Linked DNA regions of Struthio camelus. The main gene of each other region encodes a partner of the protein of the gene in region 2 in a complex. Links are inferred from orthologs where the notes say so. Each region holds a gene or a part of one and is shown on either strand. Other genes may lie near its edges.

Region 1 (6,843 bases), on a different chromosome or scaffold from region 2:
CTATGTTTGCTAAGTACCATGCTCCTGTACCACTTTGCATCGCTTGTAGTTACAGGTCATCACATCCTTGAAGTTAATGTGCAGGTAGAGCTCCTGAGTCCTGAAAAAGGACGTGAGGACATGGCCATAAGAATAGCTGATTATGAGAGATGGAAGGTCCTTCCTGAGATACTGTAAAAAAGAAAAGAAAAAGGCAGGCAGCCAGAAAACATACGTTCATGTTGTGTTGCTAGATTTTCCTAGATGTTGTGCTGCAAAATCTAGAATTGCCTTAGTTATGCATGAGCTCTGGAGGCTGCCGTAGTCTAATATAGTCAGCAGGTGTTGTGCTGGGGACACAGCACATGCAGTTTCTCCATGTATCACGTTTTGTTATTAAGGTCTATATTCCACTTTTCCTCCACTTATTGGGTCAGTTACATTAAAATTACATGTAAAATTCTGGCTTTTAAATGTGTGTTAGCATTGGACTTCTACAGCAGCAGTCTGGCATCTCTTCAAGTTTCTATGCATTTTTTCCCTTGGAATCACAAGACATCTTGTAATTTTGAAAACTGGTTATATTTAGCATGTTTTATGACTATTTAAAAGTGGTTAATCATTCTGGGCTTGTTTAAAAAACGTGTTTAATCTGTGCTACTGTATAGCCCTTTATGGCCACATAAGGGAGGGCTCCAAGATCATGTGGCTGATTTTTCCCTCTGAATCCAGACATGCACTTCCTAGTTTCCTTATTTGCTACCGTAAAGCCTTCCTTATGTTTAGAACTGTGGTGTTATCCAGACAGTGGCAGTATCTCACATAAAGGAGTATAATTGTTACCTCCATTTATTCAGAAGAAAAGGTTGCTTATGCACTCATCAGTTTTATCTAAAAGTCCTCAATTTATGGAAGTTATGTATACTTTCCCACATCACATGGGTAAAAAACCAGTTGCAGGCTATAGGTAAGCAAATGATAAAATGAGGCCTAATTCTCTCACTGCAAAGTTTTCTTCCACCACTGAATATCGACATTTATTAAAACAAGAGGAAGAAATAAGTATTATCCCCAAACATCATCTTGAGTTTTTTGAAATGGTGATACTCATTTTTCAAGAGCGTGAATTCCAAAAAGTAAAGTAGTGATTTGAAAGACTGCTTTCTAAAAATTCAGCCGCAAAGTCTATACCTCAGAAACTTGTATAACTCCACCATAAAATGAATCAGATTCAAAATCATGAAATGATTGAAATGATTCAGTCAGAAGATTAATGATATCTGGGTACCTCTCAGAAAAAAAATACATCCCTCTTACACAGAATTGTAAATAGTATGATAAATTTTACTTTACGATATTAAAGCCTTTACACATGATAAAGAGAAGAAATCTCAAGGATTTCAGTGAAATTATTTATGAAATATCCCATCAATCACTAAAGTTAATGGTACTACTGCAAACTGGGATTCCATGATCATCTGCACAGTACTGGCAGAACATGCAACTTTCAACTTGGTTAATTTGGGGGCTTCTTTTTTTGCTCAAACTTTCCAGAAAACCTGGCCAAAAAAAGCACACATGCATAATTTGGGACCAAAACCAGATAACTTCTCAAAAGGCTATGAGAAAATAAGAAATTTGAATTCAAGCGTCAAGATAAAACTAGAACCAGCTTCTCTTTTCTTCATGGGTGGGTGTTCCAAGAGATCCTGGACCTGTCTAGAATTAGTGCCAAAGATCAATTTCTTGTCCTGAGTTGTCCACTCGTCCTCTTGTCAAATGATTTACAAGAGGTGTGCCGTCAAACAGTAGTGTAAAGAGGGATGCAAATGACTCAATATATCCTCATTGAGCTTCAGCCAAGCAGGAAGTTGTAAAATCTGCTTGAGATAAAATAGTAAAAAATCTTCATTAATAATACATGATAAAAGGGTAGAATTAGAATTTATTTTCGGTGCAATGTTAGCATTTTATTTACGGAGCATTTTGCTTATTGCAACTATTTCATTCTTATTATGAACTCTGAGCTGAGCCTTTTTTCTGGATGTGCAAAAATGGGGTGGCGGGAGAGATACTTTAGAGAAATGGAGGGAGGAGAGCTGGTCACACCACTCTGAGAAGCTTGTGAATATGAAGTTTTGTAGGCTTGGGGTAATAAATGATGTCTACTGCACACAGCAGCTATTGAGTCATAGATTGCTCAACAGCTTTAGGTGCAGTGACAATTCCTGCTGGTAGGAAGAGAAAGCAGAGGAAAAACCCTGCCTCTTTTGATGGGAAGAGAGATGCACTTAACTCACATTACGGTGAGCTGGACCCAACAGCAGCAGGGAGAGGATGAGCAAGTGGAAAGCAAATGACTATTAGATGTATACCCAAGATGCTTCACGCTCCTCTCCTGAGGCTGTGCCTTCGTTTCCTCAGATGCACAGGTTGCCAGTGGGAGGGACTCTGCTCTTCAATTCATTGTTTTGCCCAGGATCAGCACACACAGTCACCCAGGGTAAACAGAGCCATATGGCAATCCCTTCTTTGTGTGCACCAGCACAGAGGAGAGCTTCCTCCTGTGTGATACACCGGAGGATAAGAGAATATGCCTTCCTCATATTATTGCAGAGTTTTCAGAAGTTATCAGGGTTTTATTCAGTACTATTTGCATAATGGAAGGTTGAAAACCAATTCACCATCATCAGCCACTAAATTAATATAATGAAAATGTATTTTTAATTCCTTCCTCAGTGTCTTTATTTGAACTGTGCAAGTTGGCACACGAGTGAGGAGAGATCTCTCAGTCTTTTTAAAATGTGACCTGCTGCTTAGGGCTTGCACTCAGCTGAAGCCTTTCATGCTCTGGAAACATTTACAGTGAACTTTGCAAAGAGTCTGCCTGCGATTTCCTACACGCAGCCAAAGGCATGTAGCAGCCCTCACGCTAGCAGGGTGGGAGCCAGCAAACCACACCTATCCCTGGCATCGCTCCCGAAGTCCAGCTGCTGGGGCATATAAGACAGTACGTGGCTTCTAAAGACTTTGGTTCTTTGGTTGTTCCCAGGCTCACAGCCTAAACAGTATCATCACTTATTCAGAGCACTGGTGTAGGTTTCTGGCCACGTCTTTTCACTATGTTCTTGACACTGAGCTCCTAATTCTATCGTGGTTCCTTGGAGACGTTGCCATTTTTGAGCTTGAAGCCTAAAACTTTTCTTATTTTACTGTTCATGCCTTTACTGCAACCACTCCCACGCCAGAGCTCACTTTCTAAAGGGTAGTAGGTTCAAGCTGTGAGGGTCTGAGTGCACCGGGCACCTTAAGAGAGTAAGACTTAAATCTGTGTCACTGGGCTAGGCACTCACCAGAACTCTTCTGTGTAATGAATTACACTGCATTGCATGGGGTCTTGTTATTTGTAAGCGAAACTTAAATTTGAAGTTCAGCCGATAAACATGCCTAGCGTTTGATTGAGGGAACTATTTGGTGTGAAAATGTGCAGTGACTTCTTTGGGATGGAGAGCATCTCCAGGGTTATGTGGTGGACCTCACAGTAGACCACCACACCTGTGTGGCAGATGATTTGCCTCATATAGATGGTTTCATTGTTTCCACATTGGGTGTACTTTCTTACAATTTCTTTTGCTTTCATTTTATCAGTAAACAGAATTATTAAGGTATTTTGCTGTTATTCTTACACGTAAACATCTCCATGCCACTGTCTGTTCTGAACAAAAAGCCCAAGACCTTTTCTGGCATAATGTCATATTCTTCTTTTTGGGATTGCAGGTTGCCAACAGTGCTCTGAAACGTAATGACGGTTTTCAGAAAGGTAAGTCATGTTCTTTGTTGTGATTTAATGATTAGCCTGAGGCCCAAAGAGGAGAAAAGGACCATAACATGGTTCAGCTCAAAAACAAAAGCAGCAGTAACCCACTAGCAACAGGGTACCAAATAACATCCATGTAATTGCAGAGATGTCATGCTCATGTTCAGCTGGTGACCTGGGCCACAAGGGATGGCACTGAAACTACACAGATTGCCAGTGGAGTCTCATTCAGTGTAAAGCAGGACTCTCTCAGCGTGTGACATTCTTCATAACCTTGGGCAATGCTTACAGATGCTTTACATTACAGTTGATTTGGTTCTAAAATGTAAGCCCATAAAGTATTTTAAGAGAAAAAAGAAAGAATTTTTCAGGAAAAAAAATGAAACTTTATCAGTAAATGCTATAATGTGGGACAAAGCATATATTATGACAAGACACCCCACTAGAAAGCTGGCTCCTCAGCAGGTGCAGTTCCATTGGAGCAGTGGAACTGAGCCAGTTTACACCCATCGAAGATCTGACCTATAGCTTTATTGAATTTTCATTCTAGCCATTAAAATCAAACTTTTTGTTTGAACTTGAATTAGTGCCAGGGGCAAGAGAAGGCATTCTGAGGGGCTTGGACTCGAGGAGTATTACCAGGACAGTAGCAGAGGCCATACCAAGATTGCATGAAAATAGTGCTCGTTCCTAGTAAAGAGCAGCCGTAGCTCACACCTTCCCTCTGGTGACGGCAGAGCAGTTCTGCCTGTTTACTCTGTAGGCAGGATATTACCTGAGCATTTACCTCTCTGTCAAGAGAGGTGCTGGGCTAAATAAGGAATACAGGTTTTGTTTCCTAAGAGAGATCATGGATGCAGTCATGTTTCCAAGTGATTTGAGTGATAGCAGAGAGAATATATACCTAAAACTACTGCAGCAGAGCCATCTACGTTTCCAGGGATCTTGTCTATCCATCTTTTTATTTTTCCCTGATTATGTCTTTGTTTTCAAGTATCTTTTCTGTACGAATACTGTAGCTTATGTGAGTTTGTCAAAGCACTTTATAAGCATTCACTATGCCCCCTGCAATCTCTGGGAGGTAGTGGAGCTGCATAACCACAGTCCTTTTTTAAGTGTTGTGTCATTTCCTCTTGTAAAACAGCTGGGCTTGATGACATGTCCAAAGTCACGTACCAGGACAGTTGTGGAGCTGGAAATAAAACCCAGAGGTCCTGATACTGTAACCATTAGATTGTACTGCTTGTAAGCAGTAAGAATTTGTCCAGTTAAAAACACTTGCAGAAGAAATCAAAGCAATAAAAAACTAAAACTAAGAGATGCATACCTGTGAGCTACATGACATCAAGTATGTCACTGTACTTGACAGTTTTTCTTCTCTCCAGGGTGATCACGTGTGGCTGGAAACTCATTCAAATAGTGAATTTAACGTCCCTATTGGGGCAGTTGTGAAGGACTCGGACTCAGGACGGATCTTGCTGGAGGATGATGAAGGCAAGGTGGGCTATGCTATAACCTTCTGTAAAGGAAGAACGTACTTAAAAGTATGGTAACAAAAGAATGGCCATATTGCGTCAGACGCTAGCTCCATCTAGCCAAATTATCTGACTTTGACGATGGTTTTAAAGAAAGAATATAAAAATAAGGCAAGCATGCGGTGATACTTCCCTAGTATATCTTCCCAGGTCCCAACAGTGCGCAGATTTAGGTCATCGTGAGCGAGAGGTTGGATCCACATAGCTAAAAGCAGGAAATGGACAGGCTCCAGCCCCTAAGTTTGGTGGAACTCTGGGTGAAATCGTGATCCCACTAAAGTCAGTTTGTCTGGGGTTTCACCCCTAGCTCTTGCATGCTGTAGCTGTGATGAACTGACACAGAACTGTACTCCAAACACTGCTAAACTTGATGATGTCCAGAACTCACCTGAGTGGCTTCATCCAGGGCCTGTCAATCATCCTGTCCTGGGGAGCAGCACATCTATTAATTCCTCTAGTTGAGTCAGCTGTGACTTAGAGCACGCTGTTTTCAGTGTGGATTGCAGTCAAGCTCGTTCCAGTCTAACATGCCTCTCTGCTTTGTTTGCTTCTGAGACACACTATACCTCATCAAAACTGCTGCCTTACCTTTTTCAGGAGCACTGGATCACGGCAAAGAACATGCACATGGTGCGCCCAATGCACCCCTCCTCTGTCCAAGGGGTGGAAGACATGATCCGCCTTGGGGATCTCCATGAAGCAGGCATGGTGCATAACCTCCTCATCCGCCACCAGGAGCACAAAATCTATGTGAGTGCCGAGGTCACAGGGCACAGTACTGCCAGGAATGACCTCTACTTCACATCCAGACGGGTGTCCTGATCAGCAGCTTACAAGCCTCTTTTCATACATGGTTACATCTGCTTCCTTTACTGATTGAGGATGCTTAGGAGGCTCAACATAGTTTTTGTCCTCGTTCATCCTAACACTTTGACTGCAAAGAAGAGAGCTGATAGTAGTCTCTGAAATCACTGAAATATGCATAGGGCATGACCCCACTTACTCTCTCCTAGAGTGATCGTTTCCAGTGGTGATTGACAGTTAGCTAGATTTCCAGTCCATGTTACCGCTTAGTGCTAGAGCGTACATGCTCCTATTACATGCAGCTGTGATATGTTATCTGTCTAACTAGTAGACAGTGACATGATTTGGATTGTCCTCCAGTCCAAGTCAATGTTTACTTGATTTTGATGTGATAAAGTAGACCAAGAAGAAAGCTGGAGATTTTGGAAACCTGTCAGAGATTTTCTGTGTGACTTTGAGCAACTTATTTAATTTCTTTATTCCTTAGTTCTTGCTTTGTAAAATGATAATAATACTCAGATTTTTGCATTCTTTACCTCCCATGTGATATGCACTACAACCTTCATAGTAGAGGAGCTGCCCCTTACAATACAAATGTGGTGATGTCCAGTGTAATCAAGTACTGATTTTGACAGATGCTGCAGTTATAACTACCAGGATATGTGTTAAGACCTGTTACATTAGTGTCTAGCAGTCTACTGTTGTCTC
Region 2 (7,594 bases):
GAGCCCCAGCCAGAGCCAGCTGCTGCTGTGACCTCCCTGCACGCAAAGCGGAAGAGGCTCAGCTTCGAGACCTGAGCACACAGGCTCACCATTTCCTGCCCTTCCCAGCCCTCCGCTTCTGCCCCGCCGCACACCGCCTTCCCCGTGCGAGCATGCCAGGCCGGTCGCTGGAGCAGCCGGGGCTCCAGATGGCTCTCACCACCCCTGCAAACCTCTCCCTTCATTGCAGCGGGGAGCTACCGGCTCCTGGCAGCAGATGGAGGGACCACAGCAGCAGCAAGAGCTGTACAGATACCAGACGGCAGGGCGCCTGCCTGCCCACGGAGTGGAGATCACCACCCGGCTCCCGCTCTGCCCCCACGCTGGCATTGGCGGCAGCAGCCAGCCTGCCCCTGGTGGAGGGCACGGTCCCTTCTTCATCCCCGCAGCGTGCCCAGGCCACAGGACTGGCATGGCACGTACCAGAGGTGGCTTCAAGCAAACCACGCCTGTGTCACCCCAGGCTGCTCCAGCCCAGGGCCAGTGCCCAGGTGCCCGCCATCACACCACTTCACTCCGAACACACATCCCTCCCTTAGACCTTCATTCATCCAGAAAGCAGTGAGAGACTAGGAGGTGGTTCCTGTCCTGCTAGTGCCAGGACAGACCGCAGGTATAGCTCCAAAGGGACAGCCCAGCAGCGCCAGCCACAAGGTGCTCTGACCTGGCTGAGCAAAGCCGGTGATGGACAGACCATGCTGCATGGGCCCTAACCCTGACCTCTGCCAGTCTGCCCGAGGGCAGGCTAGCATGGTCGTGGTCACATCTCTGCAAGGCGGCCTCAGGGTAGGTCCCTGGGACACAGGAACAGCCACCAGTCAGAGCGCCCCAGTTCCAAGCAAGGTTTGGGGGGGACAAAGCCCCGCACCCTGGCTGCGACTCCTTGTGCAGCAGGGCTCTGTGCAGAGGGGAGTCACACCTGAGCCCAGGCGGCTCCCGCCTCCCATGCCAACACCTGCCCCGGCCCTGCTGGCACTGCCACCCGAGCAGAGGGATCGAGACGGGCTGCAGGGCACCTGCCAAACCAAATCCCACAGCCCGAGGGACTTGCAGACGCAGAGCACAGCTCCTGCAGCCTGGCCAGCTTCAAAGCAAACACCCAAAGGTGACAAACAAAGGCACCCAGCAGGCGCTCCGCATTAGCAGTATTTTTAGACGCCGCTATGGAGCCGGCCTTATTATTTTCATTGCAACGTGCATAATTACCCACCATGCACTGCAGTGACATCAGACGGCAGCCTGCTCCCATCCGACAGCCGGCAAGGCCAGGCTCGCGCCTGCTCCTCCACCCATCGCCCCGGCCGCGCACAGCGCTCCTGCCACAGGGACGGATTCGGCCTCCGCAGCCTCTGACCTGCGCATCTCCCCAGGGCACGGCGTCACCGCTGCACGCGGGAGCTGCGCCTCCCAGGGGACTCGGGTCCTCGGGAGCCAGTGAAGGAGCCAAAACAGGTGCAGGTGGCACAGGGGAGGTGGGAGGAGAGGCCGAACGGGGCAGCGACGCAGGACGGTGGCGAGGAGGAAGGCACAGGACGAAGCTCCGGAGCTGCAGACGCGCGGGCGAGACCCGCTCAGCCGGCTGTCCGAGAGGCAAGGGGCTGGTGCAGGGCTCCCGGGGCGCAGTCTGCATCCGAGATGCCGCAACAAAACCAAGACGCACTTGTAGGAAGACGTGCTGGCCCGACAGCGGAGAGACAGCATCCACCATGGCGCAGGCTGCCAGCAGAGTTCAGCCGCTGAACTTCTGCCTGAGGAAGCAAACCCTGGCGCGCAGCACCAAACCCAGAGATCCTGCAGGCCTGCAGAGCTCAGGCTGTAGGTTTCGCACATCCCAAGCTACGGATACCCCCATTCCCACACAACCTCTGTGGGACGAGGCTGCTCGTGAGCCCAGCCTGGCACACGCACACCGCCTGCGATCGTGGTATACGCAACACCGTCTAAGGGTTTATTTATTTCCAAGCAGCTTCTCCATTTACGACTTTCTCAAGAGTTTCGCCACTTCCCCTTCCGTCCCTCCTCACGCAACACGGCGCTCACCCCGCGCGGGGCTGGAGATGACCGATTTCAGGTCAAGCAGCGCCGCGCTGGGAACGGGAGCGGCAGACGGAGCACTTTTATCTCGTCCTATAAAAAGTGCCCTTCGAGTCAGCGACACAAAACCCAGCCTCGACGCAAGCCAACAACTCCTGCGCAGCCGGAGACACGGCGGGGCAGAAACAGGGCGGCCCGGCAGCCCCCGCAGAAGGGACGAGAGCGCCGCTGGGCTCCAAAAGGAGGCGGGCGCCCGGCGCAGCCCGCCCCAGCTCTGCTGCCCTCCCCGATGCCCCGAGCAGACCCGAGGCGCCCGGCGCGGCCCTGCTCTCCCTGGGGGGCTCCCAGAGAGCTGGGGGCTTTTTCCGCCCGTCCCCGGCGGCAGCCACCCCAGCACACCCACCGCCTTGCGCCTGCCCCACGCGTCCAGCCCCGGAGCAGCGGGTCCTGCCGCCCCACGCAGCCACCCGCCCGCCGTGCGCCGGCCCCACAGCCCTGCTCACTGCCTTTCGCCTGGCATCAGGCCCTGCCCGTGCATCTGCCACCGTGCACCGCTGCACCGGGCCTGGCCTGCCTCTTCCCGGTGCACCGGGCCGGCCTGCCCCACCCCCTGGCACCGCTGCACCAGGTCCTGTCCCCTTCCTGGTGCACCGGGCCTGCCCCCTTCCCGGTGCATCCAGCCTGCCTGCCTCTTCCCGGTGCACCGGGCCCTGCCCACTTCCCCGGTGCACCGGGCTGGCCTGGCCACTTCCCCGGTGCACCGCGCCCTGCCCCCTTCCCGGTGCACCGGGCCTGCCTGCCCCTTCCCGGTGCACCGGGCCTGCCTGCCCATTTCCCAGTGCACCAGGCCCTGCCGCCTTCCCGGTGCACCGGGCCCTGCCGCCTTCCCGGTGCACCGGGCCCGCCTGCCCACTTCCCGGTGCACCGGGCCCTGCCCCCTTCCCGGTGCACCCAGCCTGCCTGCCCACTTCCCGGTGCACCGGCCCTGCCCCCTTCCCCGTGCACCCAGCCTGCCTGCACCCTTCCCGGTGCACCGAGCCCTGCCCGCCCCCTTCCCGGTGCACCGGCGCTGCCCGCCCCATGCTACCACCCCCCTACCCGGGCTCCGGCCCCGGCGCCGCCGCTCCCGCACCTACCGGAGGCGCCGCCCCCGCCGCTCGCCCGCTCTGCCCGGCGCACGAAGGCCGCTCGGTGCCCGCCCGCGGCTCAGCCCGCTCGCATGGCGCGGCCGCCGGGCTCGGTGTCCCTCCCGGTGCCGGTGTCCCTCCCGGTGCCGCTCCCGCTCCGGCCTCGGCCCGGCCTCAGCCCCGCCTCATGGTACCCCTGCGCCCGCCGCCCCGATGGAACCGGCCGCGCCGCGCCGCCAGCCCCCCCCCGCCACGCGAATGGGCGCGCCCGTCCCCCCCAACCCTACTACGCCCAAGAGCGGCGCCGACGAAACCGCGAGGCGCCGTGCCGGGCCGCGGGGCGCTCTGCGCCGTAATGCTTCGAGCGGCAGCGCACGCGCCCGGCTCGGAGGGCAGCGCTGGGGAGTGTCCGGATCTAGCCCGGGAGGCTCTGCTGGGGTGTCCCAGGCCAGCCCGGGGGGCTGTGCTGGGGTGTCCCGGTCCGGCCCGGATGTTTCTGCTGGGGTGTCCCAGTCTGGCCCGGGGGTCTCTGCTGGGGTGTCCTGGTCCGGCCTGGGGTCTCTGCTGGAGTGTCCTGGTCCAGCCTGGGGTCTCTGTTGGGGTGTCCCAGTCTGGCCCGGGGGTCTCTGCTGGGGTGTCCCAGGCCAGCCCGGGGGGCTGTGCTGGGGTGTCCTGGTCCGGCCCGGGTGTTTCTGCTGGGGTGTCCCAGGCCAGCCCGGGGGTCTCTGCTGGGGTGTCCTGGTCCGGCCTGGGGTCTCTGCTGGAGTGTCCTGGTCCAGCCTGGGGTCTCTGTTGGGGTGTCCCAGTCTGGCCCGGGGGGCTGTGCTGGGGTGTCCTGGTCCGGCCCGGGTGTTTCTGCTGGGGTGCCCCAGGCCAGCCTGCTTCCCCTCACCCCAGCATGTGGGGAAAGTACCTGGTGGGGCTGGATGTCCTGGGGGCACCCTTGAGTCCCCCTGGCTGCACCCTGCAGGGCTGCCCAGCCCCTTGCCCCCTGGGGTCCCCGGTGAAAAGGGGGTGAAGGTGCTGGGACCCCCCCGGCCGGGTGCTGCAGGCCCTCGGGGCTGGGGCTGGCAGGCCCGCGCCCCCGCCTCCCGGCCCCCTTCTGCCTGAGCAGAGACGCACAATCCGCCCTTGTCCCCGGCCGGCCCCAAGTAGGTCAGGGAGGCCGGGCTGAGCCCCCCGAGCTCCCCAGGAAGGAGAGAGGAGCTAGCAGGCACGGGCTGCAGGGCCCCGGGCTCCCGCCCCGGCAGCCACTCCGCTCACCCCCTGCCCCAGCGGGAGCCAGCTGTCCCCGACCCAGGGGACAGGGTCCATCCCCAGTGCCCTCAACCCATTTCAGAGGGCGGTCCCCTCCATCCTGGCCTGCTTGGAGTCCCTCCGCCCCGCCGTGGGCCCTGCCGCGCTCCTGGCACCCGCGGGAGCCGCGGGGACAGCAGCCAGCGCGGGGGGCTGGGGGGCTGCGGCTGAGGAGCGAGCACGGGGCCAGGCCGGACCCGGGAGGTGGGGGATGAGCTCGAGGAAGGAGGAAGGTGAAAATGGATTTCTCACTCCCTAATTCCAGTTAATGATTGATGAACCTGTTTACAGCAGGAGGCAAAGGTCCCCCGCGGTGCCAGGGTGTGGGTGCAGGCAGCTGCCCAGCAGCATCCCCGCGGACCCGGCCGCAGGTAAGGGATGCCGGCCCCAGCCCCCGCGGTCCAGCGGTGACGGGAGGCGGTGGGTGTCCGGCGGCAGAGAAGAGCTGCGGGCCGTGGCCCGAGGAGGGGGGCAGCCGCGGCGGTGTTACAGCTTGTGCCTGGACTCCGAGCGCCCCGTGTCCAGGCTCCTATGGGTGGGACCTGGCACCCCAGGAGAGCAGCAGTCCCATCCCAGGCTCTCCCAAATGGCTGCTGCAGCCTGGGGACACGGGTGGCTCCAGCATCCCAGCGCCATGGGGCTGGGAGGGCCTGGGGGACGCCTGCGTGGGCTCTCCCCAGCAGCTTCCCGGCGGGACAGCCGAACCCCCGGCCAACCGAGCCCTCCGGGGCTTACGGGATGGGCTGTCCCCGTGCCTGGGGGCTGCCCGTGGCCCCAGAGCCCGTGGTGGGCTGTGAACAGGCGCAGCTTGCCCCATACAGATTTGGGGACAGCATGGAGCCTGGCGTCTTGCTCCCCGGTACACTCAGTCCCGCTCAGCTCACCCGAGCTGGGTCCCCCTGCCTGGGGCGCTGCCCCCCAGGAAGGGGCCGGGGCGGCCGGCGGGAGAGGCCGGCTGCTGACCCGGAGGTGCTGGGTCTCCCATGTGTGCCCGCAGGCTTGCCAGCAGGATGGCAGGGCGCGTGCTGGTGCTGTTCCCCTTCTTCCTGGCGGCAGGTGAGGACTTTGCTTGGTGGCTTGCCAGGGTGGGTGGGAAGCGCTGGAGGTGCCTGAGGCCCCCGGCTCTCGTCCTTGTTTCCTTGAGGGCAGCCGGGACCCCCAAAACAGGTGCCCACCCCCTTGGCACCAGTGTTGAGGACCCAGCGGCTATCCTCCTACCCCAGGGAGCAGGGGTGGCCTGGACCTGGGAGGTGGGGGACGACACAAGGAGGGAGGGTGAGAAACAGCAGGCTGGGGGGTTCCCTGGCCCCCCGGGACTCAAAGCACCTCCAGGAGCTGAGCGCTGGGGCTGGGCAGGCTCTGCTGGCTCTGCGGTGCAGGGCCCGGGCAGAGGCCAGCTCAGGGCTGTGCTCAGCACACGTCCTCGCTGCAGTTTCAGGGAACACAGCCCCCTACTTCAACATGACCCTCGTGTACGTGCCAGAGGACCTGAAGATTGGTGAGTGGGGCAGCTTCAGAGCTGCCCGGATGAGGAGAGGCCCTGGGGTGCCGGGGGAGCACCCAGCCGTCCCCCCACACCCGGCAGCCCTGGGCGGGTGCTGACGCTGCCCTTGTGCCCAGGCGAGGAGGCCTTCCAGTTGCAGGCAATTGATGCGGACGGGGACCCACTCACCTACAGCATCAGTGGGTCAGAGGCCTTCTACTTCTCTGTCGAGGCCCACACGGGCAAAGTGCTGCTCAAGAACCTCCTGGACCGTGAGGTGAGGGCAGAGGCCCCGGCCCCGAGCTGTGAGCTGGCATCTCGGGCACTGGCGGGCTCTGGGGGGACAGACAGCAGAGCGAGGAGTCCTCTGGGAGAGCTGCTCGTGCAGCACCGTGGGTCCCTGCCGTGGGGCAAGGCCATGGGCAGCTCCGGGCTGTGCCGGGGGAACCGCCACGGGCTGGAGGCTGCAGGCAGAGGTGCACGTCAGGGAGCCCAGGGCTGGGGCAGGGAGCGAGGGACGTTTGCCACCAGCTCCCTGGCCCCCAACCCCAGCTCGGGGAGGGAGAGCCGGCCAGGGGGAGCAGCGCACCCAGGGGTGGTGGCTGGGAGGACTGAGCCCTGCCTGGCTCTGACTGAGTGTGTGTCTCCATGTGTGTCTCCATGTGTGTCCCCACAGTCCCTGGCCAGGCTCACGCTCACCATCACAGTGTCCGACGGGCAGAACGACGCGGTGAGTGCCGGGGTCGCGGTGTGGCAGGGGGTGGCTGTGGCAGCAGCTGGGGCCAAGCAGGGTCTCAGCGTGGACAAGGACCAGTGGTGAAGGGTGCCGGGGCAACGCTGCGCCGCCGGACGGGTGCAGAGCCGTGGGGACGTGGGGCGCCGGAGCAGCACCCAGCTCTCCTGGGCACCCCATCTCCCTGCCCCTGCTCTGCACCGTCACTGATGCCCGCTGCTCCCGGTAGGTCTCCAAAAAACTGACGGTCATCGTGGAGGACCGTAACGACAATGCCCCCATCTTCCAGAACCTGCCGTATGAAACCACCGTTGCGGAGGTAGCTTCCCACAGGGAGGAGGGCAGGCGTGCGGGGCTGGCACCGGTGGCATGGGTGTGCCGGAAGCAGGGTGACTGCGAACCTGGGAGGGGGTGACTGCGCACCGGGGAAGGCTGGATCTTGGAGCAGCACGTGCCAGGGCTGTTCCTGGGTGGGTGCCTCCGTGCCAGGCCTGGGCGCTGGGGAGGGCTGGGACTCTGCCCTTGCCATGAGTCGATCAGGGAGTGCCTGAGCCACCTCTCCACCCAGGCTGGGGTGAGGCCGGTTCGGGGTGCAGACAGGCTATGGGTCTGAGCCTGACCCTCCCCGATGGTCACAGCCCTGGCTCCTAGGAAGCCCCACAGAAGGTGAGGGGGAACCTAGATCTGGCCCCCCGCTCGGCGTGAGCAGGGACAGCAGCTCAGCCCTGTGCAGCCCACAACACCAAGCAGTCCCACAGGGCCGAGGCACCCCAGGCTAGGGCTGGCGGGGTCAGGCTCAGTGCCACTTCCCCTGCCCTCCTGGGCGATGCCACCACTGCTTGCCTTGTGTCTCCAGAACATGACAGCCGACAGCATCATCTA

Evidence for each region. The genes of interacting proteins can lie anywhere in the genome.
Region 1: CDHR2 (region 2) and MYO7B share a complex: the UniProt entries of both Homo sapiens proteins name them as parts of the IMAC/intermicrovillar adhesion complex. The link is inferred for Struthio camelus from reciprocal best matches to the Homo sapiens genes CDHR2 and MYO7B.

Annotation. Positions count from the first base shown.
Region 1 is NC_090950.1:6,319,482-6,326,324, forward strand, and holds the start of MYO7B (unconventional myosin-VIIb), read left to right. Parts: upstream 1-3,833; 5' UTR 3,834-5,115; coding exon 5,116-5,295; exon of another isoform or gene 5,296-5,757; intron 5,758-5,919; exon of another isoform or gene 5,920-5,928; coding exon 5,929-6,081; intron 6,082-6,843. UniProt on the Homo sapiens protein: Myosins are actin-based motor molecules with ATPase activity. Their highly divergent tails are presumed to bind to membranous compartments, which would be moved relative to actin filaments.
Region 2 is NC_090954.1:10,026,916-10,034,509, reverse strand, and holds the start of CDHR2 (cadherin-related family member 2), read left to right. Parts: upstream 1-4,584; 5' UTR 4,585-4,700; intron 4,701-4,787; 5' UTR 4,788-4,867; intron 4,868-5,493; 5' UTR 5,494-5,506; coding exon 5,507-5,552; intron 5,553-5,928; coding exon 5,929-5,994; intron 5,995-6,116; coding exon 6,117-6,256; intron 6,257-6,655; coding exon 6,656-6,709; intron 6,710-6,941; coding exon 6,942-7,031; intron 7,032-7,568; coding exon 7,569-7,594. UniProt on the Homo sapiens protein: Intermicrovillar adhesion molecule that forms, via its extracellular domain, calcium-dependent heterophilic complexes with CDHR5 on adjacent microvilli. Thereby, controls the packing of microvilli at the apical membrane of epithelial cells.